3 linked regions of the Drosophila melanogaster genome follow. The protein of the gene in region 3 interacts with the protein of the main gene of each other region in a pairwise test. Each region holds a gene or a part of one and is shown on either strand. Other genes may lie near its edges. The genes, in order: ems, CG10147 and Crg-1.

Region 1 (10,937 bases), on a different chromosome or scaffold from region 3:
GTTGCATTTTCTCCACTATCTATAACAACTAAATCTCAAGACCTCACTGTACAAAGGTCCTTGTATCGTTTTGATCTAATCGTACCATGTCGCCTGCTCATAAATCCCGCTCGACCATCCGGATCTGGGCAAAACGATAATGACACACGAACAAAAGTGCCTGTCAGCCAAAATATTACCAAAACGAAAGTGTCAACCAGCCAGGTCAAAGGAGGAGGGCCATCACGAGCAGGGGAGTGGGGGGTACGTGGGGCAGCGCCGGTAAAAAGTCATAAACATTACGTTGATTTTATTTCGGCAACTACCATATTTTTTATGCCCGCAAAAGGATTGTCTGGTTGTCCTTCTGCTGGCCATGCTCGAATGCCCGTTACGGAAAGTGTCATAAAAATGCCTCGAATTTGGAATGGTTTTCCACTATTTTCCACTGTTTTGCACACACGTACTAAGCGGAGGCGATACAGTGTGAGAAATAAGTGTAAGTACAATCACAGTACATAAATCAAAAGAGTTCTTTTGTTTATACGAATATAAAATATAAAACTGTTCTAATTTTAACCAAGTATTCTTGAAATATTCTCTTAATGCCTATTGCATTTTTCCCAGTGCATAGTTTTGGGGCTGCGGGAATTTCAAGGAGAAATCAGACATTTTTATGACATTTCCCTGACTACTGTTTATTCGCTTTCTCCACGCCGCCCGCCCTTTCTTATTTTTCTCGAGCACTTTTCCGACATTTTAAACATTTCTTTTTCGCCGCTGGCACTTGGCCCTTGTCAGATTTTCCCTGCGCTGCATCGTGTCGTTTGTGTATTTTTTATGATTGTCAAGGATTAGATATAAATGTTTTATGATCTTGGCCCGCTACCGCGGTGCTGGACCAGAAATTGTGTTTTAATATGATTTTACGGCTTTGTGGTAACTCGAAATACGTCCAGCTTGATTGGCTCCGATATGTCGTGCCTGAAATTCCAAATGATCCGATCCTTCGGTCTGATGCACCCTTTTCTGGGCTATTCTCTCCAAATGGGATTTGGGCTCCTCTGGAATTCGTTTTCCTGGAAAACGCCAGGCTCATCACTGTACAGTTGTTTGATGTTCTTAGGGCTGACACGCCCCCCTGCCCCCGAAAACGTCGGTCAGTTGCTACCAAGTCAAATTTTCCCATTCCCTACAAGAAAAACGCGTGAAAATGTGGCCACAAAATTCGATGCCGATCCATCATAATTTCTTGGGTCGCGTGGATTTACAAGCGCCCAAATTATCGGCAGATCGTTTTGGGTAAAATATGAAAATAACGCAGAGCTGTGAAATCGATCGATGGTATTCTTGGAAAAGCAGTTAGCGATGGCGCTTGTCCCTCAATCGAGTTGCCAGAAATTAATTACATTTAAACGCTTCGCTCCCCCATCGAGTTTTCCCCGAGTTTGTGCCAATAACACAAAGTATATATATTGGAAAAACCGAGAAAATGGGTCTGAAAACACACTCGATTCAAATGAATCCAAAACGCACACTCTAAACGCCAACTCATCATCATTAAAGTCAATTTTTCTCGTCTTCTGTTGCCTTGTTTTGTTGCTACTCAACAATTTCTGGCCATCGAATCGAACAAAGGAAAATTTGCCACGTTTTCCATTGTTTTCCCAGCGAGATAAACAGAAAAAAAAACAAAATCGACGAAAAGACAAAAAGTGAAACTGCTGTTTTTTTTTTTCTCCATCCAATTTTCAGCTGAACTGGCATCGGGAATTGGACTGGCATACTGTAGATTTATTTTCTGGATGGAGGGAGGTTCGAATAGGTGAAATTGCATCACGCTGTGCCTCGGTTTCTGTGGAATTGTTTGCAGGCTGAAAATTGTTGATTTTGACACCTTTCGGGCTGCTGCATTGTGTTCCTCTTTATTTCCATCTAATAAATGCATTTGTGCCCTTTGTTGGCTGCATTTTTTACGGTTTTCATTCCTTTTTGCGAACTCTGGCGGGGGGTCATCAACTGCCGAGTCCTCCAGTTGGCCACTTGACTGCCGCTGGTCCTGCGGCCAGAGGATATCTTTATTCGCTCATTAGCAGCACGATTGTGCTGGCTGCAGGTCCTTCGAGTCCTGGAGCTCCTGCGGTGAGGTACTCAGCTCAGTGGGCGTGTGAAATTACCGAAAATACAAGGTAAATTGCGTTTTCTTTCAACTCAATTATGCTTGATTCGTCGAAATGTTGGCCGTCTGATTGCAAGGATTCTTCTAACCACAATTGATTAAATAGATATCAGAGTATTACTTCTAAATATTTATTTAATTTAATATTTTTGATATTTATATTTAATATTTATCATTTCGACCAATACTTTTTTTACTTATAATGAAGCTTTCACAAAATCAAAACTAAAGCTCAGATGCCGAGTTTCAAATCGAATTAGCTACACACACGTTTTGCAGATTAGACCGCAAATGAAACCGACTCAGCTAAAAATCGCTGAACTTTCGACAGCATTTCGCCTTGTAATCAAAATCCATTAGTCAACATAATTACGCTTTAATGGACTCGAAAGTTGTTTATGCCTTGCGTCGATTCGAACCGAAAGCTATGGGTAAATATGCGTGGCTTAATTAGCGGCCATAAAAATTTGATAGATTTTAATCTATCGCACAAGCTGTTGTTGTGCTCTCGCCGATTCCTAGCCCATTAATCTCAGAAATCCGGCGACGAATTTGACGGCTCCGGCTGATAACAGAGTGTGAAAATAGCACTACCGAATATTATTCCATTGTTTTTGAAAAACTCTTGGGGTTTGATAGGAAATGTTATAGTGTTGACCGAGGAAACGAAGTGAGACATTTGGCACGTCCCGACAATTGATGAACCTGCTCTGATTTTGATTTGGAACTGCGATTCGGACACTACATAAATTATGCAAACTTTGTCGTGTGCCAAAAAAAAAATGTAATGCCTGAAAATTAACATTTAAATCGTAGCGAAAAATAAACCCGGTAGCACATTTCATAAAACTGTCCCGATCAAGTTTCGTAGATGATTTATGGAAACAGCAAGTTTGAAGTGCATCCGTGGTGTGGAATTGCTAATGTGGACTGGATTGTCAGCTGTACGAAAACCGGGACGTTTTAAAATAGGGAAAGTTAATATATAATATCATAAATTAAATAAGTATTTTAAATTATAAATTTTACGCCATGTTGTTGAATGGGGTTTACGAACTTTAAAAACACCATTAACAAAATACTTATATTCCTTAATCTTTAGTTTTATGCAGAAATATATAAAGAGCGTCTAACAAATCCTTGCTAAACTATAAATTTGCACAACAAAAATCCCCCTGAGCAAGGGAAATATTTAAAACGCACATCCTCTGTAAGCCTCGAAAACCCTTTTCGAACTTCCTGCAAATTTGGCCAGAGTCCGCAAACAGAGACATTTTGCCCACCTGGCATTAGATTTCCATTTAGCGCTCGTTCCGGCCCAGAAATGCAACCGCAAAAACAAGAACTATGAATGGCAGTTTAAGCCAAATTACACAAAGGCCAAGAGCAACAACAAAGTCGTATAGTGGTGGCTGTTTGAACGGAAGCCATATGCAGAAAATTCGGTAAAGGCAGCGCACCGAACTGGACCCGCCCCTCGAAAAGCAGCCATTTCACTCGCTCCTTCGCAGCTAGGCCATATCTGCAGGGTAGATAAAATCCACAAGGCGCGCGCAAAGAAGACGGCCATACTACACCGAGCACAGTGCCTCCCGCTCTGGCCCGATAAACTGGTTTGGCCTGTACTGGCGAAGAGAGAAGACTCGCCGCAGCTCAGCTCTCTTCGAGTAGCGCACACTTGGTGGTGTTGCCGGGCTTACCGGATTTATTCAGACATCGAACGTCGTCGAGAGCACACGTCTATATTCTCCGTCTTCCGACACAAAAAATAAGAAAAACGAGCGCGTCGATCGCCGTAGAGCACAAGTCTTGACAACCCGAGTGTGTGTGTGATTAATAAAGTAACTAAACGTATATATGAAAGCGTTTCCAATGCGTCGCTTAGTGTGAGAAAATCAACGAAACATAGAGAGTTACAAATAAGGACTTCCCAGAGGATTAGACAAACAGAACAGATTAGATTAAACAGAAAACCGTGCTTAAACCCTCGAAAAAAAAGCCGCCAACATAGCCGAACTAACCGCCGTATTTATGACTAAGATGATTCCGCCGGTTCCCACCGCCGCTGCAGCCGTCATGATGCCCACACCAAAGCAGAAGATCGGTTTCAGCATCGAGTCCATTGTGGGCAATGATGTCAGCACCGCCGGCGGCAATTCGACGCCCGATCTATCCGGTCCCCAGAGTCCGCCGCCCGGCGAGCGCAATGTGCCCGGTTCGCCGCCCCAAACGCCACCAGCCACACTCACCTTGATCCCAGGCTCGCCCCCGCACCATCTGATGGCTCCTCCTGCCCACGGACTGCCCTATCCGCATCCGCATGCTCAGCAGCAGCATTTGCAGGCACCACATCCGCATCCGCATCTATCGCCTGCGCAGCAACATGTGCTCCACCAGCACCTCCTCATGCAGCAGCAACATCCGGGCACACCCAAGAGCCACCAGGACATTCAGGAGCTGCTGCAGAGGCTGCACCACAATGCCGCCATGGCCAGCGGCCTGAGTCCGCTGCAGACACGCCTCTCCCCCGAAACGGAGCAGCCCCAGATGGCCGTCTCCCTCAAGCGGGAACGCTCACCTGCACCACCTGCCATGGAGCAGGCCGAGAATCCCGCCCAGCGCATCCAGCCACCGCACACGCCTCCCAAATCCGTGAGCCCCCAGTCCTCGCAGCCCTCGTCTTCGCCCACTCTGCTGATCAGCAGTCCACATGCCACACCGCCACAGCAGCAACAGCAGCAGCCGCCCCCGAATTATCCAAAGCCCGCCATGATGCATCCCGGAGGAGCTGGACCCATGATGATGCCGGGCATGCCGCCCGCTGGACTCGTTCGCCCCTTTCCCATGGGACCCGGAGGACCACCGATGCCGCAGGGTCAGCCCGGCTTGCCGGACATCAAGGCGCTGCCGCCCTACATCAACGCTCCGCCGGAGCTGCCGCCTCAGCACAATCCGCATCTCATTGCCGCTGCCCAGTTCCAGATGGCCGCCGCCCTGCAAGCGGGTCATGTGCTTGGTCCAGCGGCCGCCGCCGCTGCTGCCGCCGGCCTGCCGCCCCATGCCGCCCAGTTTATGCCCAATCCAGGCATGGCCAGGGATAGCTATCAGCTGTACCCCTGGCTGCTCAGCCGCCATGGAAGGATCTTCCCACACCGATTCCCTGGAAGTAAGTATCTTTTGGAATGATTCTTTATATGCGAAACAAAAAAAGGAGATTTAGGGAAAAAAATAGTTCTTGGAGTCCAAATTGAAGCCAAAAAATGAGAAATTTCTTTAAAGTAATAATTCTAAACCTTCATAAATGTAATAAGAAATGAAAGATGCTAATATGTTTTAAATTAGTTTTGATGAGTCTCTTATAATTGCATTATATTGTCATTGCTAATTTATTGCTGTGAGTTATGATCTTAAATACCGATGACTAACCGAAACCCTTTCTTCTTTGCCTCTTTCAAGGTTTCCTGGTGCCCCCGTTCCGCAAACCGAAACGCATCCGCACCGCCTTCTCGCCGTCGCAGCTGCTGAAGCTGGAGCACGCCTTTGAGAGCAACCAGTACGTAGTGGGGGCAGAGAGAAAGGCCCTGGCCCAAAACCTCAATCTGTCCGAGACGCAGGTGAAGGTGTGGTTCCAGAACCGACGCACCAAGCACAAGCGGATGCAGCAGGAGGATGAGAAGGGCGGCGAGGGAGGATCGCAGCGGAATATGCACAACGGCAGCGGCGACGAGGACGACGACGAACTGATCGACATGGAGATGGACGAGTGTCCCAGCGATGAGGAGCACGAGCTGGACGCCAGCCACTGAGAGAAGCGGCCAGGAGATAGTCCTGCGGCGGTCCGTGAGTTCCTTATCCTGGCGAATGCAGTCCAGTTCCAGTTATCGAGGGTTCCCAGTCGAATCTCGGCGAGAGTAACATAGTTTGTTTTGTTGTGATATATTCTTAGAGCGATCCCAAGGCGTTAGGCTAAGTGTATATAGATAGGAAAGTATTAGAGACCCTTTCTCTCCATCCACACTTCTCTCTCAAGATCCGTGCCAAATCCTTGCGAAGTTTCGAGGTTGAGTAGAGCTCAAAGAATGCAAGTTGTTTCCTTTCTTTCCCAAATATCAAATGCAAAAAAAGAAACACTGAAAAAATAAACCTAGGCTAGACACCACCAACTATAACTGTACAAATTTTATGACTTAAGCCTGTAAATATTCATGACATTACTTTTAATTAGTGAATTCTTCAAAACAAATCGTACTCGATCCACTAGCTATTGTATAATTCTTGTATATTGTATGACGATCTAGCATTTATTTATGTTTAGTCTTAAGCACGAACCTCTAGAGTCCCTCAACTGCAGCTGGATATTATTTAAAGCCGTCTAATATAAAGCCCTAGTTGCTAGTAACTACATCCTAAGCTAATACGATTGTAAGAAACACAAACGAATATGATCATATAAAATATAAAATATTCATTATGAAAAGAAATCGAAAGAGAAATGTTTGATTGATTTATGTGTTGGGGGCAACCACTTATTATCCAGAATACTAGATAATTTATTTATAATTTAAACAATATTGGTATGTTTTGAGTTATGGGTGTGAACTTTAACTTCTCATTCAGCTTTATTACTTTCCTTCAACAATATTTTACTTTAGTTTATTTTTTCTTGTTTAAGCCTTGGCATCTCCGCCCCTTTTTAATTGAGTTCGTCCCACTGTGTGACAGAGTAAAAAATTATGCGCCGTCAATTAATTAGCGTGTGACATTTAACATTGTTGTTGCTGTTTCTGTCCACTGGAAATGGTGACAGGTGCGCTGGAAAAGGGGATTGAGGGGGTGCGGCCGCGACTGAAAAGAGCGGGATAGCTGAAGGAGGCGGCTATAAAATGCATTTAGCGATCGTTATTTCTTATAGATTTCATAAGCATTTTAATTGCACAATTTAAAATGCAAATCGTGTTTTATTGTAGAATTTAATTGAGCGCAGTTCGTGTGAGATCAAAGGGGCGGGGGTGGATGCTGAACGGGGGCTTTTGGGGGTTGGGGTGGCTTTGGAAACTGGTTAACAAGCCACTCGAGGTGTGCTAATGATCTAAAAGCCAAATTTATGATTATTGAACCACAAATTTATGCGAAAACTGTGGCGGTATATAAGCGCAGTTTTCATTATCGCCAAATCGGCTATCAGCTAACTGAAATCGGCTATCGAATGTGGCCTAATGAATATGCAGTGGCTAATTGCAATGGGCAAACTGCAAACTAGATTGGTCCGGCTGATATGGCTAATTAACGGACATAACGAGTCTAATTACTAGCTGTTAACAGCACTAAATTGTGGCACTCTGTCAAAGGTCCCCCCCCTTCAGTATTGAAATCAGGGGGGGTTTTTGGGGGAACCTATCTATTGCAAACACAAAGCTTACAATTGCAATAGTCGTAAATCAGAGTGGGCAAATTATATGTTTCATCGGTGATCGAAATCGCGGCTTTAGCCATAAACCTTTCAGCTAATGGCAAGTCTTGTTTGCTTAGCAAACACGCACCTTTGATGGAAACTTCGAGATTCCAATTCAAGATTCAAGATACACGGCCCATCGCGAGCGGGAACTGTAATTAATAATGGGGCTGGGGCACGCCCCCTGCATATGGGATTGGGGGCTTATCTGCTGGCCTCCTTTATCCAATATCACTCTTCAAATGTTTCTGTAGAACAAAACACACACTGGCGCAAAGGGACGGAGAGAAAACGAAAGCCGAAATCGGAATGAAATCCCTTGCTGATAATTCTCGGAAATTAAAACACAATTTGGTAAGTTGTTGGCTGTTGATGATGTTATACATATATCGAGCATACATATGTTTGTACAACTTGTTTTGCCTCGTGGCTTCGCTTTTGTTGTTGTTGATTTTCGAATGCCTCAAAAGGTTTGTTATGCGGCGCGCCCCAAAAAAAGAGATATAGTAATAATAATGCCAACAACAACGCCGCATTCACTTTATGGCCAGCACCACGCACCACAACTGGCTGCCCGTTGTTATTGTTACTTATCCCATAAAGTTTATTAAGTAATCCAATTTGGCTAAATTAGCTGTGTCTCGTCTCGAAGTTATTTCGGATTTTAATTGAGTTGCGGCTTGAGTTTGAGTTTCTCTTTGCCTACCCTCCCATCTCCATTCATTGCTCATTATTGCCTGTTGGATTTCACCGATCGCTGATCGATCGCCGGCATAATGCAAATTGTCAAGCCAAGATCGAGACCCCAACCCCAACCAGAACCCCTTGGCCCCTTAATGGCCATCCTTTGGAGTGCAGGGCTCAAGATCGGGACGTGCCATATCTCGGTGTTCTGTTTAATGTGTGTTTCCTGGAAGATTAATACGGCGAAATTAAGGAAAATAAATAAATGTCAGCGCTGTACAAGATCGTTATCGCATTTAACAATAATTACCCTGATATGGGATATGCTAACTAATCTGTTAAGCCCGCTCATTCCGGCCAAGGATCGTTCCGAGATGCGTTGCGATGTGCTGGCCAGGCCAACAGGTTTTTGGCCCCAAACGAAACGACTGTTTAGTGCTTTCCGTTGTCGCCCGAAACACCAGACATCATCGAAGGTGTCGCCGGCCGCTTGTTGTGTTAAATTAAGTAATTAATTTTAAAGTCCATGTTCGGTCCGTTTGTCTAACGAAAGACTTAGGCGACGAACTTTTTGGGGCCGCCACGCTTGTTAACCCCACTTCCGTCATTCACTTTTGCCTCGGAGTCTTGCGACTCGATCTTGATCTCGATCGGCCGACTTCAATTGCTTGTAATTTACAGAACGATTGTTCTCATTCCTCGGCGGGCACTTCCTGCGGTTCGGCTAGATTGGCATCACTTTTCCATACCCTCGACATTTTGTTTGTCGTAATAATAATTCGTAAGCGTTTTAATTGAATGATCCGACGGTGGGCGTCTCCCGCTCCTTAACCACACAAGATATATAAGATATACACTCCAGATCCGCTGTGTCATTGCCAACTGCTCGACATGTCCCGGGGTAAACAGAATAAACATTTGACTCGAATTTGGGCCCTCAAGTGCTTAATTAAGAGCCGCAACAACGTCTCGTTTTGGCTCTTGTTTATTTAACAATTTTCTGCGGCCAGGGTCCAATATTTTGATGTTTTCTAATTGCCTCAATTATGCTTCGCTCTCCGGGTGTTTTTTTTGACTGTTAGATCACGGATTTCTGGCGCCAGACGCCGTCTCTTTCATATGCAAAGTGCCTTACCGATCAAATATCGAATGCTTTAATTTGGTATATCAAAGAGAGACATTATGCTGCTGCTGCCAATCTCAGACTCCCTGCCCCCTCCCCCAGATCGTAAAAGCGTCAAATTTCTCAATTCTCGGTTGCCCATTACCAATTCCCGATTTCGTGGCCAACTCCATGGGGCGTCCTAATTGTTGATATGCATCTCGGTTTCTCTGCCACTCAGTTATTGGGTTCGTCGAGAGTCGCTTAATATTATTTGGTGAGTTTTATGTTTTATTTCGAATTAGCCGCATAAATATGCACTCTTTATGACAACCTGATGTCTGTTGTTACTGTTTTATGCTCGCTGAGCTGGAGCGCCCACGCTGCGTATGATTGTTGGCATTTCAATGATCGATACAGTGGTTTAAATTGGTCAGAAGGGAACTGAGAATTATAGTTTTTAATAATATTAGAATTTGTTTCTTATAATATTTATTAAATTGAATATATTTCCAGTTCAAGCGTTTTGTAATTGTTATACATTATATTTAGTTTAGTATCAACCCACTGTGCCGCGATTGACCATCGAAATAAATGCCATTCCACGCTGCCCGCAGTGCAATGCATTATTCAAGCGCTGGAGAAAATCCCGCCTTGGACATTTAGCTGGTTAAACAATCAATTAGTGACGACCGCAACTGAATCGCTGATGCCGTTATTGAATTATACTCGAAGCTATCAGGGGGCCACATACAAATGTGTATGTTCGTAGGACCCATGGCACCGCTCCTCCCCAAAAGGTATAACCCCGCCCTGACAGGCCAACAAATGCTCGGATTGCGTGCCAGCCTCAAGTTGGTCTGGCTAATTATGGGTTTGCCATTTGGGGCCTGCATATGGGTTCTAGTTCTACACCATGTGGCTCAATGTAAGGTATACATGGCTTTGTAGTATAGTGTAGCTTATCGGAGTGCTCGGTGGTCCGGGCCAATGAGGCGTCATCTAATATATTGCAATTACAAGCGGCAATTAGTCAATTTACCGGACTCGAACACGAAACGCTTTTCGTATAATTAAAAGCCAATTAGAATATTTATTATGAAAATTGCCCAACAAATGTGCATAATTGAAGCGATGTGAATTCGTTTAAATTACAGACCGCTCCAGCGATTTCCATCTAGTTGGCAGCCATGAGAACCTCCCAATGGGGAATCTACTGTCCGATATGCCCCCATCCAGTTAGTGGTTTTCTATAATTGAATCAGGTACTTCCTGCGAAGCAATTACTGCCACGGGAAGCGTATTATAGGTTTAGTTTCGATGATTAAGTGCACTGATCTTATTAGCAGCTTTTTTAGGTAAACAAAAACATTAACACGCCCTGTAATTGTTGGCTTCATTATTTTCAGACCAATTTTTATAAGCAACTGTGACATAAGACTTAAGCAGCTATTTGTACGTACACATTTATCAATTCAAAACAAAACCTAAACTTGTATTATTTTTCTGATATCTGATTATTCTAATAATTTACCTTCTTC
Region 2 (10,497 bases), on a different chromosome or scaffold from region 3:
GGCGAAAAAACACCTGCCAATTCGAAGCTGCGGGCTTAAATCACTCAGGCCCAAGTAATTCAAACTTGCAGTGGCTTTTAAATGCCAGAAACATCCTCGCTGTTACTTTTTTCGACTCTAATCTAATCGCAACAAATGGCAAATGTGTTCTTTGGTTGCTGGATAATGCAATTCCGTTGTTGTCGGTGGATTTTATCGGCCACAGCAGATACTTTATATTAGCTTAAAATTTTATCGGCGTGTCGGTTCGCGTCACACGCAACTGGCTGTAAAAGCATTTGCGTGGCCCAAGTTTGTGTCTTGAGTAATTCGTTCGCTCAAGTTTGTGTCCTAAGTCATTCGTTGTGGCATTTGCCATTTTGTCGCTCGACAAGTTTGACATTTACTCCAAACTAATTTATGCCCGGCAGTCTATTAAAATTCTGTTTATTAATTGGTACACATTTTTCCGTTCTTATCTTTGCAGAATTAAATCAGCGAATGCCAATGGTAAGTGAATAAATGTTTTCTTTATTCAATGATATTATTTAAATGAGACAAATGATTTGTAGTGGGTGATTAAATGGGAATCATCAGGTTATATAAAGTGTGTTTGTTTATTAGTTAGCAAGCTAGGTATCTTAATAGATTGCTACCGCTTTCAAAGGCTTACATTAAATGCCTTACTTTCCCATAAGAACTTTACGACCAAAATTGTTATCCATCCAATATCTCACATCTTCTAAAAAAAAGCCTGATGTTTTTTTGCCACGTCTGATTAATTAGCCAAGCCAAGTCAGGTCAGGTTTTTTGTTACCTCTGCTCATCATCGAGGGTCTTGCCTTCTCTTTGCATTTTCATTTCCATTTTTAATTGCATAATTCTGCCATGGCATGCAATTCAAAGAAATCTTTCGTTCTGGGGACCTCAGCTCCCTTTTTTTTTTGGTGTGCCAACATTTTAATTTGTTTTCTGCGACTGGCGTGGAAGGAAGGTAAACTAACAAAATGAAGACAAATTTTTGACGACAATGCATGAACTTCACGTTCGTGCCACAAATCAGAGATGCTGCTGCTCCTCCTGCGGCAGTTGAAACCGAAATCGAGAGCCATGAGTATTATATATGGCTCCAGGCTACGTGCTGGCAAAAACTTTCGAGTAAAAGAAAATTTGTAGACAAATTAAGGCAGAGGCAAAACAATTGTCATGGCCGCAGACTTCGTCAAACACGTTTGAAAATCGTGCAAAATGGCTAGAGGAGGGCTGGAGGACTCTTTCTGCTATTTGATTTAGTTGCTCGATTCTGGCGAGTCTTTCAGCATTCAGCAGTAGGCGAATTTTTGACATCCGATCCCTTTTCAGGTCGAAATCTTTCCCTTTCTTCAGCTCACTCCCTTTCTTCCGGAGGCTTGGCGCCAATTTCACCGTCCGTCTTGTGGGCCCGACAATCGACATGCAGGACAAATTGTTGACGGCATTTAATGTCACAGCAGCCAATTAGCTGTCCCCATGAAAATGCTCGTTTCTTGTTGGTTTCCTTTTTTTTCTTTGGTTGGTTTGTTTATTTGTATTTTGCCAAAAAGTTTTTGTTACCCACTTGTTGGGGTTTTTTTTATATAATTTTCGTTGGTGGTACGCACGGCTGCATGTTGATCCAAGCTAAAAAAGAAACAAACCGAGAAACAAACAATCGCCACAAATCGTTAAACTGTCAGCAGCTTTTAAAGCGCGTGATTATGTCCAAGTCACCGTTGAGAGTTGAGAGACAAGCGCCAGTTGCCACAGAGTTTTTTTTTCGGATTTTTTTCAAGTCTTTTTTTGCGTCGAAAGAGAAAATTTTCAATTGCCCAAAAATGCACATTTAAGTGGTGTTTATTTGTTGCAACATTTTTTTGCAAAGGTGAAAAAGTGGGGACTGAATTGAACTGAGTTTTTATGGGAGTCTGTAAAAATGGTTAGACATTAAATTTGTTTTTTATGAAGTTAGCTAAAAATGTGTCGAAAATGTATATTATATACATGAGTAGTGTTTATATCTGTGCACATGTTTCGAAATTACCTAATTATCTACACAATGCTGGAATAAGAATGTAAAAAACTTACAAGAAAGAAACAAAGGATTTCCAATTTGCATATTTCAGCAATCGCAATTAGCCATCACAGCAAATGGCAATTGCAACATTCGATGGTGTCAATTTACTTGGGAGCTCTTTGAAATTATCTTTGAACAGCAGCCAACGTGTCGTATGCGTAACATGGTCTTAATTATGCATACAAAGAACTCACAGTAACCGAGCAGTACAAAAAAATAAATAAATAAATAAATGAAAAATACTAAGTGACATTGCATTAAACGGGTAAGACATAGCACCGCGATTGGCATTATCTATCCGACTATTAAGACTTCATTACACATGTCATATTTGCCATTTGCGCAGCAAACAGTAAAAATAAAAATCCAAATAGCACACATTAAATTCCAAAGCCAAAGTGCTCGTTAATTTTTCGTTTATTTATTTTTGATTTTGTCCGCTTTTCATCTGAGCAAAAGTCGACTGCGAAATATTTTGTTAACAACAATTTGCCGCTTGCAGTTTCCCTGCTGCCGTTCTGGTGACTGCGATAAGCAGGCGAAGATAAGACAGCCGCTATAGCTGTTAAAATGCAGTATGGCACAGTGATCCATAAAGTAGTATGAGTTCAGAAGATATTTTCGTAATATACATTCAGTACATTTCTGGGCTATCTACCACTGTGCTGCAGCATTGAGAAACCCCGAAAGAAATCGTAAGTGCAATGCAGTTGCAGTCGCAGCTCAGTGCAACTTGCATCGGCTCGATTCAGCTGAGTTAGCTGTGCAGTAGCCGCGGCAACATCGTTAACACGGCGCAAAAACAGCCATTAAAGCCAAGTTTCAGTTGGAGCTGGGTCTCTGGATCTTGGAGCTGGGTCTCTTGGAGTCTGCGACTTGTGTTTGCCGCATTGGTGACATGCACAAAATGCATGTATATGAGCACCTACGTACGATAACTTCGGTTCGGGGGTAATAATCGCCGCAGTCAAAACCATTGCTGCTGGACATTCGCTTAGCCGAAGTACGTAAATCATAAGCATAAAACAGACTTCGACTCCAACTTCGCCATGCAAGGTGCACTGAGAAAAAATTGTACGCTTTGAAAGTAGTTTATACGTTTCTTAGAACAAATTGAGTTTGGCGTAGCGATTTATTTTGTATGTTTAATTGTTTTATAATTTTGTATTTTATCAAGCTAAGTTTCTCTTACTTCTGGCATATTTCTGCCAGTGCACATGGAACTGCATTATGCATGTGCATAACTTGGGAAACCATCGCTGCCGTTGCGTATGCTCCACGCTAATTAGCTGAATCGCCCCAAGTGGCTCCGAGTGGCACCATCTTTTCCAACTTAATGAGAGTGAAAGGCGAGTTAAAATATATAAAAACTAAATACACACATTTGCAAGCGACTCTAGGCAAATTAAACGGCGATGAGTTGGAAAGTCGAGACGATGGCCGTTGTGGTTCGGATGTTGAGAACAGGTCCACCGCGTTTACAACCAGCAATTATACGTGTTTGCCTACTGCGATTCTCAATGAGCGTTTGGCGTCAGTTGTCTATAAATTATGAGCTTAATGACGTCCAGGGTTTTATGGAATCCCGGCTATTTGGATTTTGAGTGCCTTCAAACGCTCGGTTGAGTCACACACACACGGGAGCTCCCATTAACCTTCCCATGCCCGCCTGGGCATTATGAGATCACATGTGCTGATAGCGAAAAGGAGAAACATTTGGCATTTTCGGCATTTTGGCTGGCTGGCTGCTGCTGCTGCCACTGCGGAAAACCACTCGGTGGTGCAGCGGTGCAGTGGTGCAGCGGTGCAGTTTGTTTGCCACCTCGCTGCCAGTTGACAGCCGTTTAATTTACGCTTTGTTTGTTTGTTTGTTTCTGTCTTTTGTTTGCGTCCTGAGGTGAATGTTTGATTTATAGCCCGATTATAAACCGAAATGTCATAGATATCTGCTGCGTTCGAATTCGGCTTGGATTCGATAGACTATCGTTCCCTAAAATATAGGAAACGAAAATCATCAAATTAATATTTGATACTATTACCTAAAAAGTAATAAGGATGAGTTTAAAAATTTGCCAACCCAACTGCACAACATTTTTTTTGGCTATTTATAAAACTAATCCACATTCCTTTGGCTGATTTCCCAATATTTTTTAATGAAGCAAGTGTCACAGATAATCCACACAAATGGCAATTGTAATTTTCGTTCAATATATACTCTTTCGCAATTATCGCTGGCCAGCGGACAACGTGTCGTATGAGTAACATGATTTTAATTAAGCAAACAGAAGATAACGACCTCGTGGCTAACCCCTCTATGAATTCCCCTTGCAGGTGGCCGCCCGCAGCCTTGGTGGTGTCGCAATAACCGAAACGGTGGCCAAAATCGATCGCCCATCTCGATCAAGCACTCGGCGGACAGCATCCGGCGGCCCACGAGCAACTCCGGCGTTTGGACCTGGCTGGGCGGCAGTCGTCGCTCCTCCGCCGGTCCCGACCAGATCGGTCCGCCGTCGACGTCGCCGGCGGAGAACCACTATACCCACATGGACGATGCCTACAGTCCGGTGGGCGTGAGCGAGGCGCTCTACGCGGAACTGGATCGCGAGTCCGTGCGATCCGCCAATCCCTCATATCAGAATACGGCCTACAGTCAGTGTGGCGAGGTGGGTAGCGCAAATAAAGTAAAATAATAGTTGGTAAATTGGTTTAATACCTACAGCCCAATTCATGACAGAAATTCAGTAATAATTCAGAAAATAATCCTGCAATCCACCCTTCATTACAGAAATACAATTACCAGGGCCACGAGCAGGACATTCCCATGGTGGTCTCCTCGGCACCCAGCAGTGCTTACTATTCGGATCTGTCGGTGACCGCGATGCCCGGCGGAGCGAGTGGCAGTAATCAGGGCGCCTACGAGATTGTCGGACTGAACGTGATGTCCCAGCCGCTGCCCAACTGGGATCATCATGGCGGAGGAGTGGGAGGTGGCGGTGTTGTGGCTGCAGGAGCAGCAGCCGCCATCCTTGGAGGCGGTGGTGGTGGGGGCAATGGCCTTACGCCGGGCGAGGCTGCGGCGATGACGCAACGACGAGGTCCTCGACTGGCGGCCATCAACGAGACGAGCACCAGCACAGTGCCCTCGGACTATGTCTAAATGGAGTAAGCGTTTAAATACAAACATAATGTGAAATGTTCAGCGAGCTTAACATGTTAATAGGATATAGAAGTACGTTATATACACCCCACAGATCTAAGGTTAAATTTACATAATATTTAACACTGGCATACCATAGTGTTTAGTGTTTAGCATGGACTTGTGTCTTTGGTTAATGTCTGAAATTATAATCTGTACCCGTTGCCGATATTGGGATATATTTATACACACTTACAAGGCAAGAATGTATTATATGTCTAGTTTTTATGTAGTCTCTAAGCAACGATTTAATCGTGGGTGATATTTAGCCTAAAAATATGCTATATTCTTATGTTCTACGTACTTTAAACATTTTCTAAAAATGTAAAAACGACAACAAACGCATTTTTTCATAGGCTTAGAACGAGTGAAGTGAACGCGATGGACAAGAAATCGTATTTCCCCCCAGGATCAGTACACGCAAATATAGAAACGATATATACATACGAATACAACATATTTATACACTCAATATTTACAGCAGCCGAAAAAAGAAAACGCATTTAGCTCACCAACATATATAACTATACAAATATATATCTATAACAATAACTGAAGAATCATATTTACAACGATTTTAATGCAACAGATTTCACCATATTTACCGGGGGAAATGATCGTGGCACGTCATATCATTTACCACACCATTATACATATGTATGCAAAGCTATCTATATACTATACCATATACAATAAACAGACTCACGACCTTTAGCAGATGTACTTTAGTTTTTAGTGGTCCGCGGCAGGAAGCGAATCCTCTGCCGATTTATTTAGTAACACACACACACACACACACAATTCCTGTACATTATTGTTTTAGTTGAAAATATAATTAAACAATTATTGATATTTACATTCTGAATCCCAAAAGGAAATGGTTCTTTATTGGAGTATTTATTTGTCGATACAGTAAGTACAATAGTACTCTTAAAGTATATAATTTCATTTTTAACCGAGTAAAAGGTTTTAGTTCATAAAAAATAGGTAATAAGAAAACAATTTTATAAATTCAACAAACTTAAAGTTTAAGAAACAAACAGAACGAAACAAAAAACTATAACTACACTTCATAAAAGAATATGCACTTTACCCTTTACTTCCTGATTTGGATAACTTGGCATATTCTCAAACGTGAATAACTTAAACCAAAGTTTATTGCAAAACTCCCCGTATCCTTATACTTCCTGATTTATTGTCAGTATTCGAAGTTATTGTCGTTTACTTAAAGTGTAAGTTGCAAATGTGACTATAATACTAAACGTCTTTTACCCTAATCTTCCTGATATTTTCGTTGTTAAGGGTAAATTGACATACATAAATGGTAAGAAACTAAAAGTGCAGTTTCTTTAAAATAATTCACTTTACCCTACACTTCCTGATTAGTGTTATTAAGGGTTATTGTCTCCATTCATAATCTCTTCTTGTTTTGTTAACATTATTTGGGGTTATCGTCATATACTTGTACCTTCCACCTTCTGATTTATTGTCATTAACTTATACCCTACACCATAAGATTTATTGTCGTTATTGCGGGTTGTTGTCATATTAATTAGTTTCTTGATAAGATAGAAAAACTACAGCTTATTAATTAATGCCATTTACCCTAAACTTCCTGATTTGTTAACGTTATTAAGGGTAAAATGGCATGTATTTGTGCCATTAGAAACTAAGACTAGTTTATTAAAAATTGCCTCTTCCCTGCTCTTCTAATTCGTTATCGTAATAAATCCCTCAATAAAGGAGGTATGTAAATATTAATTAAGTTGTGAGTCAAGTAAAATACGATATGAATGTTGTACTTTCCACTGAACCTAAAATAGAAATATGTTAACTTCTTTAACCCATGCTAGTCAGTTGCAGCAGAGCACAAGCGGTCTGCTGATTATCCCCCGATTCGTGGACCTTGCGATGGGTGCGCAAGGCAGAGGGTTGTATAAATTTCTTGCCGCAAACGTGACACTCAAAGTTCTTTTCGCCAGTGTGGGTCATTTCGTGATATTTTCGCGTGTCGGTGGTGGCAAATTTCTTTTCGCAATAGCTGCAGGCATAATCTCGTGCCTTCTCGTGGATTGCGCGGATATGTTTCTTAAGACTCGTTGAGCTGTTGCAAACTTTGGGGCAATCCTTGCAGGACCAGGTCCTTTCCAGAGTATGATAGTTGATATGCAGTCGCAGTTCGTTTTTGGTCGTCTTCTTGAGACCACAGTAGGGGCAACTAAAGTTCTTTATGCCCTGGTGACGCATCATGTGGATCTTGAGTTTCTCCGTGCTATAGAATCGCATAGAACATTCCGGCAGTTCGCAGGCATATGGCAATACCAGCTGGTCACCGTGTGTGAACCGATGCTGGCTTAGGGCAGAGCCAGTCTTGAACACCCGACCACAGAACTCGCACATATGGGTCTTCAAAGGCTTGCCAATGTCGTGAGCCTTGCTTTGGTGGTATTTCAGCGAGGCCTTGTGCCGGTACATCCTGTTGCAGCCCTCCTCCTCGCAGACAAACCGCATGCCCACTTCCGAGTGCTCTAGCTCGTGCTGCCTGAGGTTCTCGAATCGGTTGAAAGCTTCCTCGCATCCGGGCTCAGTGCAATGATACAGCATGTGTCCCTGGTGTTCCTTCTTGTGCAGAATCAAGCGTTTCTCCTCTCGAAACTCGTCGGCGCACAAGTCGCACTTGTATGTGGTCAATGGCGGCTCCTGAAATCATTGAATACAACTTAACTTACACTCCTGTTTAAACCTTAAACCCAAACTCACTTCCAAAGCTTTCTTTTCCGTTTCCGGGGGTTGCTGGACATTTTCGGTGAAGGTATGGAATACCAAGGTTGGCGGTGCCTGTTCAGCGACTATTGGGGTATTTTGTGCACTCAAATTGGTATCACATATAATCATCTCCGGCGGCTCCAATAGAAGTTCTTCCAGCTCCAGCTCCTCTTCCTCATCTTCATCGACCTCGTAAACAGGTTTCCTGCGATCTATTTTCTTCCAAGTTACCAGACTTTTAGAACGCCACTTATTGTCGGCTATAATGCAAAGTGCTCGGAAGGAGTGGAACTTCTCCAGAAGCTCGTAGCACTCCGAGCAAATTTCGCTGGGCAAAATATCCTGGTCATCAGGATCCACCACCAAATTTGTGCACTCCGAAAATTTGACGGCGAGATATGGATGGTGCAGCAAATTGTAGGCCTCGTCGTCTCTAGCCACATCGCTGGAGCATACGCGGCATTTGTCCAGGTGTCCCATTAAGTGGTTGAATCAAAGTTATTGAGACCTTTTTTTAAATTCACAAGAAAAAATATTTTTCTGTGTCCTGTCTGCCGTTTTTTCTTATCGCTGTTGTTTGTATACTAAACAGCTGATAGGGCTGGCAAAAATACCGCTGATAGCAATAGTGATGGCAAATAATAGCGTGAGTTGGAAGGGGTTAAATAAATATAGTATAAATGTTTAAAAATATCTACTGTAAGCATACCACAAATAATGTTAAATACATTTATATTTTTAATCCTTGCACGTACAATAAATGAAATTAATCGTGACTTAAAACAGCTTGTTACTCGTGGCACATCTCTAGCACCCTGTGCTAAAGTCACATCTCTAATGGGGGGTGTATAAAAAGTTGTGCTGTTGCAGTTTGTTATTTATTTTTTTCCAGCACAACAATGGATAATTCCAATGGAATCCACTACATTGAGCTAACCCCAAATCCCATACGATTTGATGCTGTCAGCCAACTAACCAATGTGTTTTTCGATGACTCCAACAAGCAGGTATAGTTAAAACATGTTAAAAATCCATGTTGATGATGGCTAAAAATCTATATCTGTAAAGATATTTGCTGTTCGGTCTGGAGGAGCTACTGGTGTGGTGGTCAAAGGTCCTGGATCTCCCGACGATGTCGTCATCTCCTTTTGCATGAGCGACCGTGGCGGTGCCATAAGGTCCATTAAGTTCTCGCCGGACAACCAAATCTTGGCCGTTCAGCGAAAGGAGAATTCCGTGGAGTTCATATGTTTTCAGGGAGATCAGCCTCTGCTGCAGGACATCATTACCCACCAGGTGAAGACTCTGATCCATGGCTTTGTTTGGGTCCACAATCGAGAGGTGGCCCTGATTTCGAATACCGGCGTGGAGGTCTACACCGTAGTTCCTGAGAAGCGACAGGTGCGCTCTGTGAAATCCCTGAGCATTGGCATCAAGTGGTTCGCCTGGTGCTGCGATGCCAATGTGGCTCTACTGTGCACCAGCGAAGGAAACTCCCTGATTCCGGTGCTGGTCAAGCAGAAAGTAATCACCAAGCTGCCCAAAGTGGACTGTAAGTAATCCTTTTGGGTTAAAATCCTTTAAAAGCGTTTTAATCTTTCCTTTCAGTGGGCAATCCAAGTCGCGATGTCCAGGAGAGCAAGGTCACCTTAGGCCAAGTTTACGGCGTGCTGGCTGTGCTTATCCTCCAGTCAAATAGCACCACCGGACTGATGGAAGTCGAGGTGCACTTGCTCAATGGACCGGGCTTGGCTCCACGCAAGTGCCATGTGCTCCGCTTAAGTCTGCTTGGTCGCTTCGCCATCAACACGGTGGATAATCTGATTGTGGTGCACCATCAAGCTTCGGGCACTTCGCTGCTATTCGACATCTCCCTGCCCGGAGAGGTGATCAATGAAATAACCTATCATACACCCATAACTCCAGGGCGCTCCATCAAACCGTTTGGCCTGAAACTGCCCTCACTTTCGCCTGATGGACAAATCTTGCAGTGCGAGTTGTGTAAGTTCTTTAAATATCCAAAAAGTTACTTTATTTGACACTTATACCCATGCAGATTCCACGCACTGGGTACTGTTCCAGCCAAATATTGTAATCGATGCCAAGTTGGGTTGCATGTGGTTTTTGAACCTCTGCATTGAACCATTGTGCCAACTGATTTCGGATCGCATTCGACTTACAGAATTCCTGCTGCAACGCAGCAATGGCAAGCAGATGCTATTAAAAGTCATTGGACAATTGGTAGATGATCAGTATAAGGGAACTCTATTGCCAGTCCTAGAGACCATCTTCAGTCGGATTAACAAGATCTATGCGTAAGTTAAAGACGTTATTTTCATCAATATATATTTATTACATTATGCATGGTATACTTTAGGTCTTGGGTCCAGTTGGAGCTGCAAAATCAAACCGCTCAACCGTCGAACGTAAAAACTACTACCCTGAAACAGAGCACACCGCCCAT
Region 3 (12,452 bases):
GAACTCAACGAGGTCACTGGAATGTTTCCGCGCAGAGAGCGCGCCATTCAAACAGAGAATGCGCGCACTAAGGATGTGGGGTTGGCCGGTCAACCGATATCCGCCGGAAAACGACCAAGCAACGGCCCTTTCTGCCTTAAGCCTTTCCCTTTGCCTGTCGTCGAGCTGCCGGAGTTCGTGTGTGTGGAGACCAAGTGTGTGACACGCAAGCACGCGCTAGAGAATGGCATTCCGGTAAAAGGACTGCATACCCCGATCACCAATGGAGGCGCTACGGAGGCTCCCAAGAAATCAGTACAGCAGAAGGAACTTAACGAGGTCACTGGAATGTTTCCGCGCAGAGAGCGCGCCATTCAAACAGAGAATGCGCGCACTACGGATGTGGGCATTCAATGCCGTCGCGATTCGGAGGAGTGGTATTTACCAGAGGAGCGGACAAAGGATACCGGTTCTGAGGCCTCCGATTCCAAAGAATTTCTCACCTACGTGAGCGAGAACACATTCAAATTTCCCAACGACATGCTGGAGTGCGCGGTGTGCGGCGATGTGGCCAACACCTTGCTGGAGCACCACGGCCACATGACCGCGCACTATGGACCTGGTGCTCTGTGCTTTCGCTGTGGTCAGCGTGTGGACCACAAGAAACTATTGAAGCGTCACAGTCTGAGCTGTCCCGCTCTGGCGCCCAGGAAGTCATCAATGCTCTTTAAATGCCCACATCTACTCTGCAACGCCATGAGCCACTCAAAGATGCAGTTGCTCAAGCACCTGCGAAACCATAGCGGCAGGCAGTGCTACAGATGTCTTCAGTGCAAACGTTACTTCAAATCCACCAGCTATCTTTTGGTACATCGAAAAAAAGAGCAGAGCTGTGCCAAGGCGAAAGTGGTCGCCGTATTTAGCAGACACAACGGGTTGCCCAATGGAATAAGTGATCACAGACGTTGCTCAGTTTGTTTGAAGCGTTTCAGCAGCGAGCGGGTATGCCTGCGGCACCGGAGACAGTGCATCCTCGGCCATTATAGACGGCTGTCCAAGGCCCTCGAGAAGGAGCTATGAACAGCGTATACAAATCTTGACCTAGCTGGTATTTATTAGTATATAGAAATCGATAACAATAAAGCGAATAGATCCTTCGAAAAAATTCCGCCACATACCCCAAATTTAAATACATATCCATATACATACATATTCACATAGGATCGAGAATGTAATGAGCCACAATTAAGTCCATAACTATTGCTGAAGAAATTTATGTGTGCCCTCATTGATATTAAAACAGTTTTCTGTTAATCATTTTAGTATTTTTTTATATTCAATGTTTCGTCAAGTTTTTTGTTTGCTTTTGTCTTTGGTTTTCTTGATTTTTATTCTAGAATTATGTTTTTTTGCTGATTTTTTTCATTATTTTAAACTTAAATGAAGCATAGATTATTTATATAAATATTTACAATGCTCTTTGCGATTATTAGGGAGTTGTTGCCGCTGCTTTTTTACTCTTGTTTTGCTTGCCGTCCTTATCTGCGTCCATTTTTGTTTCTTTCTATCGCGATATTTTCCATTTTTTATACTTATACTCTAAAAACTAATTTCGGGTTACTTTTCATTCATTTTGTTTTGCGTAGACTTAAGAAAAAAATGTTTTTCGCTTTTGGATGAATCTTCACTCCCCGCTCAAACTCTTCTGTTCCTCTTCTGATCTTTCTCTTTAAGGTTTTTTTTGTCTGGCTGTAGGCAGATTTCATATCGGTTTATTATATATTATTGAAACATTTAGCTTGGTAGTTCATGTTTTTTTTTTGCAGCTTTTATATACATATCTACATTTATATGTCGCAGATCATTTAAATGTAACGACATTTCTAGTAATTGCGTGTTTCTGCTTGGCGCGCCATGCAGGCGTCTTTTCTGTTCTTTTGATGCGCGACAGAGAACCGTTAACGTAGTCTGGTCGATGGTAGGAGCGGGAGGAAGTAGATGCCTGCAGGAATAACGGAAGCGTACAGAAAAATGCGGTTAAATGCATTAGTGTTTATGTATGTGGACTGGAGTGAGTCTCCAAAATGTGTTGGTAATGCGTGTAGAGTTAAGAACTACGTATAATTCTGATTTTGTGAAAAGAGATTGGGTCAGTCAGTGATCGATCATTGCGAAGAACAGACATGTCTCGCTTACGCGCCAGAAAACGTTGCGCAGACAACGAGAATAGTGAAGAGGAAGAAGGGCGTCCTGATGACTCTTCGACATATATGTATATATTTCTAATAATACGCCTTGGATGTTAATATTTCATCCCCCCGTTTGCCAACCAACCAGCCAACTGGGGGCCGCAAGGTAAATTTGTGAATGGTTAATGAAAAGTTACCCAAACTGCACGCCCATTCGAACTGAGCCGAAACTTCTTGGACTGTCGATTCATTACATTAAATGCGGGGGGTGGTGAGGAGTGCAGGTGCGCAGGTGATGGGCAAATGTCATAAATTATTTGCCTCCCCCTCCCGAGCGGGGTGGTTTTATATGTAAATTTATATAGGATATTTACACGCAACATTCGCGGCTGCGGCATCAAATATTTACACTGATTTCGGGTATTCGAAGACAACAAAAGAAATGAATAACAAAAAACAGGTGGGGAGCAGTGGGGGCGAAAGGCCAAATTGATGAACCTTGAAAAATGTGTTAAAACTTATTGTTTTCTTCGTCAGCGATTCTTGACGAATTGATATTTTCGAACTCAGCGTGGTAAAAATGGAATTTTGAAAAATTTTAACGTTCTGCGAAAAGTAGGTAATGATTAACTAGTTTTGAATACTTCTGAATGATTAACTAATACGGAATGAGCCGTATTAAGCACTTATCATCATAAAACTAAGAATTTGGTATACTCAACAATTGCCACTAAACAATCCAAAAGCCAAAATTAATGGGTCGCTATCCGTATAAGCTGATAATACCAGGGAATACCAGTTTGGCATAAACAACTTGTTGAACAACCCGCAAATAGTTTGGTTAACAACATTTTTGTTTTTCACCTTATGCGAGCGAAGGCAAGGTAAATGCAATTTTCTAGCCCATAAATTTGTTTGAGCTGCTAATTTTTTTGCACTTTCATTGTGGCCGCTATCGTTTGTTTGCCGGTGTGTGGCACTTTGTTTAAGTTTGGTTACCAACCAAGGAACGAAAACATGGTAAGAAGAAATACCCAGCGAACGAGGAAATCAAATGGCCAACGGGAATAGCCAAAACGAAATGCTTGAGATTTGTTTAATTGCATCCTGGCTGGCGTTTTTTGCCATCAACAAAAATAACAGGATGGCTAGCACTCCACAAAATGGCGTCCATCCGAATGGGCGGTGGGCGGTGGGCGGTGGTGGTTGATTCAGTGGGTGGTTCGATGGGGGACAGTACTTACGATATCCATTGGTATATGCCCGACACAGTCAGCTCACCCTTATCCTCGAGGGCGTATTCGATGAGCTCCGTGTAGGTGAACGGTGGTTTCTTTGGCCTGCTTGTTTTGCGGTGGTTGGTTTTGGATTTCAGCCACATTGGTGGGTGGTTCGGTGGTTTAGTGGATCGGCGATTGCGTGGTTGGGGAAATTCGTTGGCGGCATCGATTGGAGGACGGCATTGAAAGCAAATGGAGAACGCACAAATCAGAGAGAAAGATTGTTAAATATATTAAAAGAAAAGAGAGAATGCTATAGTCGAGTTACCCGACTATCAGATACCCGTTACTCAGCTAGTGTGAATGCGAACGCGAAATTTAATCATCTTTCTGGGATGTCGATAGATATTGGGGAATAAAATGAGAAAAAAATTTAAAAATTGATCCTGATCAACAAATTTTATATATACTTCAACGAATCTAGTATACCCTTTTCCTCTATGAGTAACGGGAATAAATAGATGTTTCAAATAAATTAGGAAATATAGAATTTAACCGTTGACACTGTCATATTGTTTTATTTCTGCAACACTTACGCCTTGGACGAAGTATCCTCGACGACAACGTGCTCGGCAACTATCATGTCGTTACCGTCCAACTCCGAGGTGACCTCCATCACCAGCTCCTCGAACTTGCGCCCAGTCTTGGTGGAGCCCACGCCGGCCACGCCCCCCGCTGCTGAAGCGCCAGCGGAGCCGTTGCCTCCTCCTCCTAATGCCGCTGGCATCGCTGCACTGGAGCAACTCTTGGGCGATCTGGCCCGTTGATCCACCAAACCCGATCCGAGAGATTGATTTGTGCTTATGGCGGATGCGGATGCCGATGCGGCGGAGGCGGATGATGGCGAGGAGGAACTGCAGGGCGACGTGGCGATCGGCACTGCCGTCGATGGTGGATGAGGTGGAGCACTGCCCTCCGGCAGATTGACCGCCTGTCCGTGAATCTGATTGTGCGGCGATAGGTGCGGGAACTCGTCGAACTTAAAGTTGAGCAGCCACGAGAGGTTCTTATCCTCGAAGTCCGCCTCGGTGGCTTCATTGGCCCCACTAACCGAACCGGATGAGGTGCGTCGGCCCGCCGACTGTATCCGCTGCTTCTGCGGCACCAGAAAATGTTGATTCTGATGTGGGTTCTGACCAGGAATGACATTCTGTTGTGTTGACTGCTGCGTATGATTGGATGCATTTTGAGCTGATGATGATGTTGGTGGTGGCGGCGGCAAAGTGGCATTCAATTGCCCCAGTTCCGCCTGCAGGCCGGAGTTATAACGATGATCCAGCTCCAGCAGCTCGCCACCGGTCCAACCACCATTGTCATCCAATGGAGCACTCGATGGTGGACAGTGCGAATAGGCGACGGCGGGCACCAGAAGACTGCTCTCATAGGAAAAGAGATCGTTGATGAAGGACGTCGAGGATTGGGCGGGTGCAGCGTTGGTTGGCGGATTACTAGGTGGCTGTTCCAGCTGCAGGTGGAAGTGCAGGTCCCCGGCATCGTAGTCCAAGTGTCGCTTCTTCCAGGGATTTGCCCCGATGGGCTCGTAGTCGTGGCCCAAAGCCAAATCCTCCTGATCGTCGAACTTGCGCTTAAGAAAGTTGTAATCACCGGGAAGATTAGTGTTCGTATCATTTTGATTGGTGGTACTGCTATTGTTGTTGTTGTTGCTGCTGGGATTCGATGTTGGGCTGGATGCACTGCCCGTTCCATTGACGGGCATGTTGACAATCATGATGTCCCGGCTGTCTCGATTTCAATCACGTTAGCCAAGCCAAAACACACAACTCACACTTGGCGAAAAAGAGCAAGTAACACGAAAAAAAAATTGACCTGCTTCGTCTGGGGGACGGACGAAGGATATTTCTTTCTTTATTTCTCAATCTTTAGTTTAGTCAAGAGCGGAAATTGGGAATTAGTCGGTCCGCACTGGCTAACTGGCTAACCGTCTCGCGCTGCGACTGGCCACGGAATGCGATGGGCCGCCAGGAGTCCAGACCAACTTGGCTGTTGGGCTGAGCTGCGCCTGCGCCCTCCTGCCACTCATCCACATTCACATCCACCACCCCGGACACCCAGTCATGCACATAAGCGGTACGTCTGCAGTCGATGGAAAGAGGAGCCGTACCTGTGATGGCGCAGGTACAATAAAATAATGCAGACACTTCACTGTATTATATTTGACATATTCGTTGATATATGTTTCAACCATATCACCTGCTTATAAATATATATTTATAATTTATATATAAATATGAAAAATATCAAAGCAAAGAAAGCTGTCATAGCTTCTAAATAATCAGTCGTGTACGCTGTACCAAGCTGAGTTTAAAAAGCAATCAAGTACCTCTAGGTACAACCACCCAGGTCTTGGCATCGCTGAGCCCAGGTCATGTGCCGCTGGTTCTGCTTGGTCGCTCGATTTGGCCATAATCGAACATGTGCGCCAAGCTGTCCGTTAGCCAATTTCGCGCTGACATGGGGCGGGGTGCGGTAGATAGGTTCTGGATCCAGGGTGCAGGGTGCAGCCATTGAAGCGTCTAATCGACGCTTTCATACACCATGCGTACCCAATGTCCTTCATACAAAGTGAGCAACCCACACAGGTGATGCGCCGGATAGTTTAAGGGACTACGGCTCCATCTGTCCAACCCGCTCGAAAAAAAAGCAAAAGTATCTCCCCTTTTACCCGTTTACCAAAAAATATGGACATTAGCAATTCGGGTTCTTGTTGATTCGTTTATTTATTTCCATTGATCACTGGTTGAATGAGTGTGTGAATGAGTGTGTGAATGAATGGGCGATTGCTTTCATGTTGGGGGGCTAAATGCATTTGCTTACAATATGATTTAAATCCTACTCAGTACAATTTTGTTTGACCAAATGATGCGATTAGTTTTATCCGTTTCTTCGTTCTCGGTAATTTAGGCTAATATTATTGAACATATATATATTTTTTATTTTCTTTTGGTTGTTTCTCGAGCTTTAGTTCAACTAGATCGATCGGCACCCTTGAATCTGACTTGACGTCTAAACATTTATGTTTTGTTCGTCACAGGACAATCTTTTGATTTACCTGTGAACTGCAAATGTGATAAGTTTTTAAGCATATTCTAGCTCCTTTGTATAGTTTCATTTGCCACTTTAATGGCCGCAAGTATGCTTTTCAATAATATGTGAAGAAGCGTCTCCAGCATCTCCAACATCTCTTTCTTCTCGATTTAAATAAATGTTGCTTATTCTTCTGACTGCTTGTAGTATTTTGAATATTTGAATTTTCTCCATTGTCGCCCGTTCTTTTACGTGTTGGTTAAGTTAAAGCTTAGGAAATGTTTGTTTTTTCTCAGCTGCAAAAATGTGTAAGGCAGCCGCTTTCCCTTTTGTTTTTCGTGTAGTCCATCTTCTTCACCGCACTCTGTTGCTTTCTCTTTCTTTGTTGTTTTGTAATCTCGCTCGATTTCGTGTAATTGGTTGTTAACTTCTTTTTATCGACGCATGTTTCAGTCTTACTACTGCCCCATTTCTAAACCTTAGTCCAAACCGTCATCGACGAAGTCGGCGGAGTCCTTTTTAGGCTTAGGCTCGCTCGGCTTTCCAGCCTTTTCACCCGCTTGGCCAAAGGCAGCACCCACATCTCCACCGGGCACAATCTTCTTGATAAGGTTGTATATCTTCGGGTTCGACGCGTACTTTGTGATGTTACCCGGATTTGACAAAATGTCCTACGAAAGTTAATAAATAACAACGATATGATTACTGCATTTGTATTAGAAATAGAAAAGTAGTATTCACGAACCTGAATGGCGGCTGACACCTCGGGATCTGACATGGCGCCCAGTATATCAGACATATTTCCGTTACCAGGATTCCCACCGGAAAATTCTCCAGATGATCCACCAGAGCTGGCATTGTGCTTTTCCTGCTCCTTACGTGCGCGCCTCTGATCCCGCTGGCGTTCCTTGATCTTACGCTCTGCCTGGCGACGCTCCTGCTTCAAGCGATGCTGCTCGATTTTCTTGGCATTCGGAGTGACCTCCTTTAGCCACTCGTCTGTCTCCTCGTCAAAGTCCAGCTTGCATGCTTGGCGCAAATCATGGGCAGCCAGCTCAAAATCTCCGAGGAGGCGACGGGCGCGTCCCCTGAACTTGTAGCCAGCCGCCAAATCCGAGTTGAGTTCCAGCGCCACGTCGCAGTCCCGAATGCAGGCATTCGGCTTCTTCAGCTTGAGGAAGGCCTGACCACGCTTAGCGTGGAAAAGGGCATTACCCGGGCTCAGTTCAATGGCCTTGGTGTACAAGGCGATGGCCTCGTCGAACTTCTGCTGGCCGTAAGCGGAGGCCGCCTGGGCGCGCAGCTCGCTCGCCTGCTCCACCTCCTCTTCGGTGGCCTTCTTGCTGTAGTTGCCCATGGGTTGGGCGGGGTCGCTGTCCGCCTCGATCACACCTGAAGGCGTCGGAAGTAATACGGATAGAAGATACATAGTTTTAATTGGCGTATTACATATATTAATACTGCAGGATTCGAATTTGGGTAAACGCTAAGTTTGCAGTGTCGAAAGGATATAAGATAAAGCAACTGCCAGCACTGCGACAGCAACGCATCAAAGTCCAGGGTTGTGACCCCCAATGACCACGTGACTCGGCAAAATTTGCACACTCACCCTCCATGTCCAGCTCCACGTCCGACTCAGGATCGGAGAGGGACTTTTCGTCCTCGCTATCCTCGGGGGCATTGGCCGGCTCGTTGGCCTTGGCACCAGCAACACCGCCGAATGGGCACTTGCTGGAAGAACAAGCCGCGGGATGAGCAAATCATACAATCGTGTTGTTTTGAAAATTGGTCAAATAGTTCGGTTAACTTACCCTCCGGCGCTGCCACCGTTGAATTGGCCAGGCGGCACCGTGCCACCAAACTTCTCCACGAAATCTTTGACGAACTGCAGCTGCGGCATGTTCAAGAAGGTGGGATTCTCAAGCGCAAAGTCGATGAAGTACTTCAGCTTCTTCAGATCCCCGGTTTGCATTGTGAAAGCCATTTCTGAATTCCGTTTTGTCTCGATGTTTTCAGATCTGATATATTAATATATTAATATTATTAATAAGCAATATTTGCTTAGCTTTACGTCCACTTTTGCTCTGCCCTATCGATTGGTATGCATAAATACCATGAAAAAGTACTGAGAATTAATCGACGGTATTTATCGCTTCGCTCTTGTATTTTTCAGTATTTTGTGCGTACGATAGTGCTGGAAAATGTGACAACTTTTAAAAAGATAACAGCCATTTTCCGCCACATACCCCAAAACTAAATACATATATATTCACATAGGATCGAGAATGTAATGAGCCACAATTAAGTCCATAACTATTGCTGAAGAAGTTTATGTCTGCCCCCATTGACATTAAAACAGTTTTCTGTTAATCATTTTAGTATTTTTTTATTTTCAATGTTTCGTCATGTTTTTTGTTTGCTTTTGTCTTTTGTTTTCTTGATGTTTTTTTTTTAGCTTTTTTCATTTTGTTTTGGAATTAATTTATTAATTAATTTTTATGTTTACTTATTGATTTAGTATCTTCTTCGCGCTTATCTCTGTCGTCGCCGCCTATTTCGTGTTTGCATTGTTTTTTTTTCGGCTTTCTTCGCCTTTTCTTGTGTTTGGTGTGTGTCTGGTTGAAGGGGTTAAGGGTCAGAAAATGGTGAAAACTGGTGGTGATGTTCGGGTATCGGAAGGGAGTGGGTGGTGTCGATGGCCTATTCTGAGTGCCCTTCTCTCCGTGCTCGCACGCATACAAATATTTTTCATATCCGTTCACTTTAAATAATTTTTTAGCATAACTATTAAATAATTTGTTTATATATAATACATACATATATGTATATATGCACACATATATGTATATTCAGTTTGTTTTTCGTAATTCGTTCAATTTAAACTTTTTAATTATTATCGTAATTATTTTTTAATAAAATACTCAACAAATAATTTAATGGGCTTTGTTTTTCTCGTCTGCTCAACTGTCTCATCGTTTTTTTCTGCTGCTGTTTTTATTTTTATTTTCGTTTTTTTTTCTTTTTAAGTATTTATATTTTGATTCGTTTAGTACTATTTAAACACTTAGTAGGTATTAATTTGTTTAGCTTTATACGCTTGCGTGTGTGTTCTTGAGTGTGACAACTTTCTCTATGAAAAACTCAATAAAATCGAAGAATTAAAGACAAATAAATTAAAACATCTCGTGGTTTTTTTTATCAAACATTTCGCTTGTTTATTTTGTTTCTCTTTTTGTTGTTTCTGTTTCTTGGTTGTTGTTGGTTTCGCTGTGGATCAAACCGAAACCGTTAAGTGATAATAAAAAATAATGATAATGGTAATCAAAATAATAATAATAGTTTCCTTTTAAATATGTATAATTTATAATTTAAAGATGTGCATTTTACATAATTATATAATAGATAGATTCGCTCTCATTCTCTATGCATCTCCTTTCATTATCTTCACATTCCTTGCTTTCCTTTATCTTTTATCAAATTAAATTAACACACACTCGCATCCAATCGTTATCGACAATCGATGACATCACATCGATATACACACACATTTAGATATCGACCATTATGGGCTAATTCTAACGGTTACATTAAACGGAAAAAAAAATCGGAATCATTATCCTCATATCATTATTCTTTATAGAGATGCAAAAAAAAAATTTAATCTTACAAACTGATTGGCTAAAATTAAAGGAAAGTACGTACATATACAAATTTGCATACAAATCTGAAATGGTTCTTCTGGTTTTTTATGTTTTTTTGCTGGTTTTCTTCATTAATTTAAACTTTAATTAGGCATAAATTATTTATATAAATATTTACAATGCTCTTTGCTATTTTTAGGGAGTTCTTGCCGCTGCTTTATTACTCTTGTTCTGCTTGCCGTCCTTATCTGCGTCCATTTTTGTTTCTTTCTATCGCGATATTTTCCATTTTTTATACTTATACTCTAAAAACTAATTTCGGGTTACTTTTCATTCATTTTGTTTTGCGTAGACTTAAGAAAAAAATGTTTTTCGCTTTTGGATGAATCTTGCATCTTTCACTCCCCGCTCATACTCTTCTGTTCCTCTTCTGATCTTTCTCTTTAAGGTTTTTTTTGTCTGGCTGTAGGCAGATTTCATATCGGTTTTACATACATATAGATCTATATATTATTGAAACATTTAGCTTGGTAGTTCATGTTTTTTTTTTGCAGGTTTTATATATGTATATATATTTCTATTAATATGCCTTGGATATTAATATTTAATACAATTTACGCATAGTGCATTACAATTATAATTTTAAAATTAAAAAAAAAAAAACATGTATATATATCGATACATATATGTGTAATTTTAATAAAAACTATTACATTAGTTTACTATGTATTTAGAAGTATTTTACTTCAAATAGGTTTATTTTCTGTTGATTTTTCTGATCCGATCTGATCTCATGAATTACGCTTTTTCTCGATTTTTCTTGCATTTCTACTTATTTTCTTTTCTTTGTGGCATATAAAAAAATGGTTTGATTCTATGAATTTTTCAGTTTTTTTTATCTGTGGATTTGTTTGTGGTTCAGATACGACTATATACAAATGTATATATATATGTATATATATATATATATATATATATATATATATATGTGTGTGTGTGTGTGTGTGTGGTGTTAATGTTTATGGTATTTTTATATTTAAATCAATTTTTTTTGGATTTTGATACAAAACAAACAAAAATGACTTTTATATTTCAAATTGAATTAAAATATAATTGGGATGTTTTTTCCGATTAAAAGCGTTAAAAGGAAGAGATAAATATATATATAAATATATTTATAAAGATTTACTAGTATGCTTCAATGTTTATGCAGATATATATATATATATATATATATATATATAAATATAAATTTATACATTTATATAATTTTTATATTTTATATATATTTATATATTTATATCATCATTACTAGTAACTATGCATGGACACAAAGTGAAAATTTACAGTTAACATTATTCGTTTTGTTTCTTTTAAGGCAAAATTAGTCTGCAGTGTCTACCTTGTGTGTATGAGTAAGTGTATTTTTAATGTTTGAACCACAATCACAATCCAGCAGATAATGCAATAATTTGTTATTTCCCATTGCAAATGTCCCCTATTCTCTGCGTCTTTGTAATCCTTTTTTGCGTTTTTTGCTTTGTTTGTTGATGCTTTTGCGACTCGCTGTGAATTTTCTTGGGATGTTGTTATTGCTGACGGCGGCAGTGTGGCAGGCAGCTCCTCGTTCTCTTAAACTCGCTTGTCATCATTCCCTTCATATTTTAGAGCAGCTCTTGCTGCAACAGCAGCTTGTGCTGCTGCTGTTGGAGTTGCGCCTGCTGTTGTAACTGTTGCTGCTGCCAGCGCTTGTATTTCCCCTGATAGGTCGGTGTTCCCCCTCCCCCTGCAGCTGCAGCAGCATTGGCAGCGTTTGCCGGCATTGTCTGCATATTGTTCTTGATGATGGTGCTGTTATTATTGTTGTTTTGGAAGTGGGCTGCATCCATCACGGTTTCGTAGCAAAAGGCCGCTGCATCTAGAAGCGTGGCCGCATAATTGCTACTGCTGTTTTGCAAATGAAGTTGCTGATTCTGCTGGTATTGCTGGATTTGGAGTTGCTGTTGCTGGTGTTGAAGTTGCTGTTGACTACTGGCAGCTAATGTAGCTGCTGCTACTGCGGCGGCGGCGAATTATGAGTTCGAATTGCGCTTGGTTGGCAGCTAGGACGAACTCGACTGATTCATATTGCCAAACATGTGGGCAGAGAAAGATGTCTGGCCTGTAGAATTGGCCTGTGACGTCGACGACTGTTGCTGCTGCTGTTGCTGTTGTTGCTGCTGCTGTTGTTGCGCCTGCTGTTGCTGATTGAGCGAACCGCGCCCATGTTTCGGTATCGGTGGCTGAATGTACTCGTGCCTGGCCAGTGCGAACACATC

Evidence for each region.
Region 1: the proteins of Crg-1 (region 3) and ems interact in a two-hybrid assay, tested with the Drosophila melanogaster proteins (one large-scale study listed by BioGRID).
Region 2: the proteins of Crg-1 (region 3) and CG10147 interact in a two-hybrid assay, tested with the Drosophila melanogaster proteins (one large-scale study listed by BioGRID).

Annotation. Positions count from the first base shown.
Region 1 is NT_033777.3:13,897,990-13,908,926, forward strand, and holds ems (empty spiracles), read left to right. Parts: upstream 1-3,863; 5' UTR 3,864-4,189; coding exon 4,190-5,324; intron 5,325-5,614; coding exon 5,615-5,964; 3' UTR 5,965-6,631; downstream 6,632-10,937. UniProt on the Drosophila melanogaster protein: Acts as a homeotic selector gene controlling antennal and mandibular segment identity.
Region 2 is NT_037436.4:6,479,829-6,490,325, forward strand, and holds CG10147 (uncharacterized protein), read right to left. Parts: upstream 8,597-10,497; 5' UTR 8,514-8,596; coding exon 8,028-8,513; intron 7,968-8,027; coding exon 7,107-7,967; 3' UTR 6,339-7,106; downstream 1-6,338. Other genes in the region: CG42747 (uncharacterized protein), read left to right, coding at 467-489, 4,403-4,734, 4,857-5,228; bulli, read left to right, coding at 8,933-9,040, 9,102-9,585, 9,642-10,034, 10,090-10,348, 10,411-10,497.
Region 3 is NC_004354.4:3,786,189-3,798,640, reverse strand, and holds Crg-1 (circadianly regulated gene), read right to left. Parts: upstream 5,419-12,452; 5' UTR 5,235-5,418; intron 5,178-5,234; exon of another isoform or gene 3,981-5,177; intron 3,779-3,980; 5' UTR 3,550-3,778; coding exon 3,413-3,549; intron 1,982-3,412; coding exon 1,774-1,981; 3' UTR 1,302-1,773; downstream 1-1,301. Other genes in the region: HIP-R (Hsc/Hsp70-interacting protein related), read right to left, coding at 6,973-7,164, 7,239-7,885, 8,103-8,224, 8,305-8,477; Tlk (Tousled-like kinase), read right to left, coding at 12,237-12,452.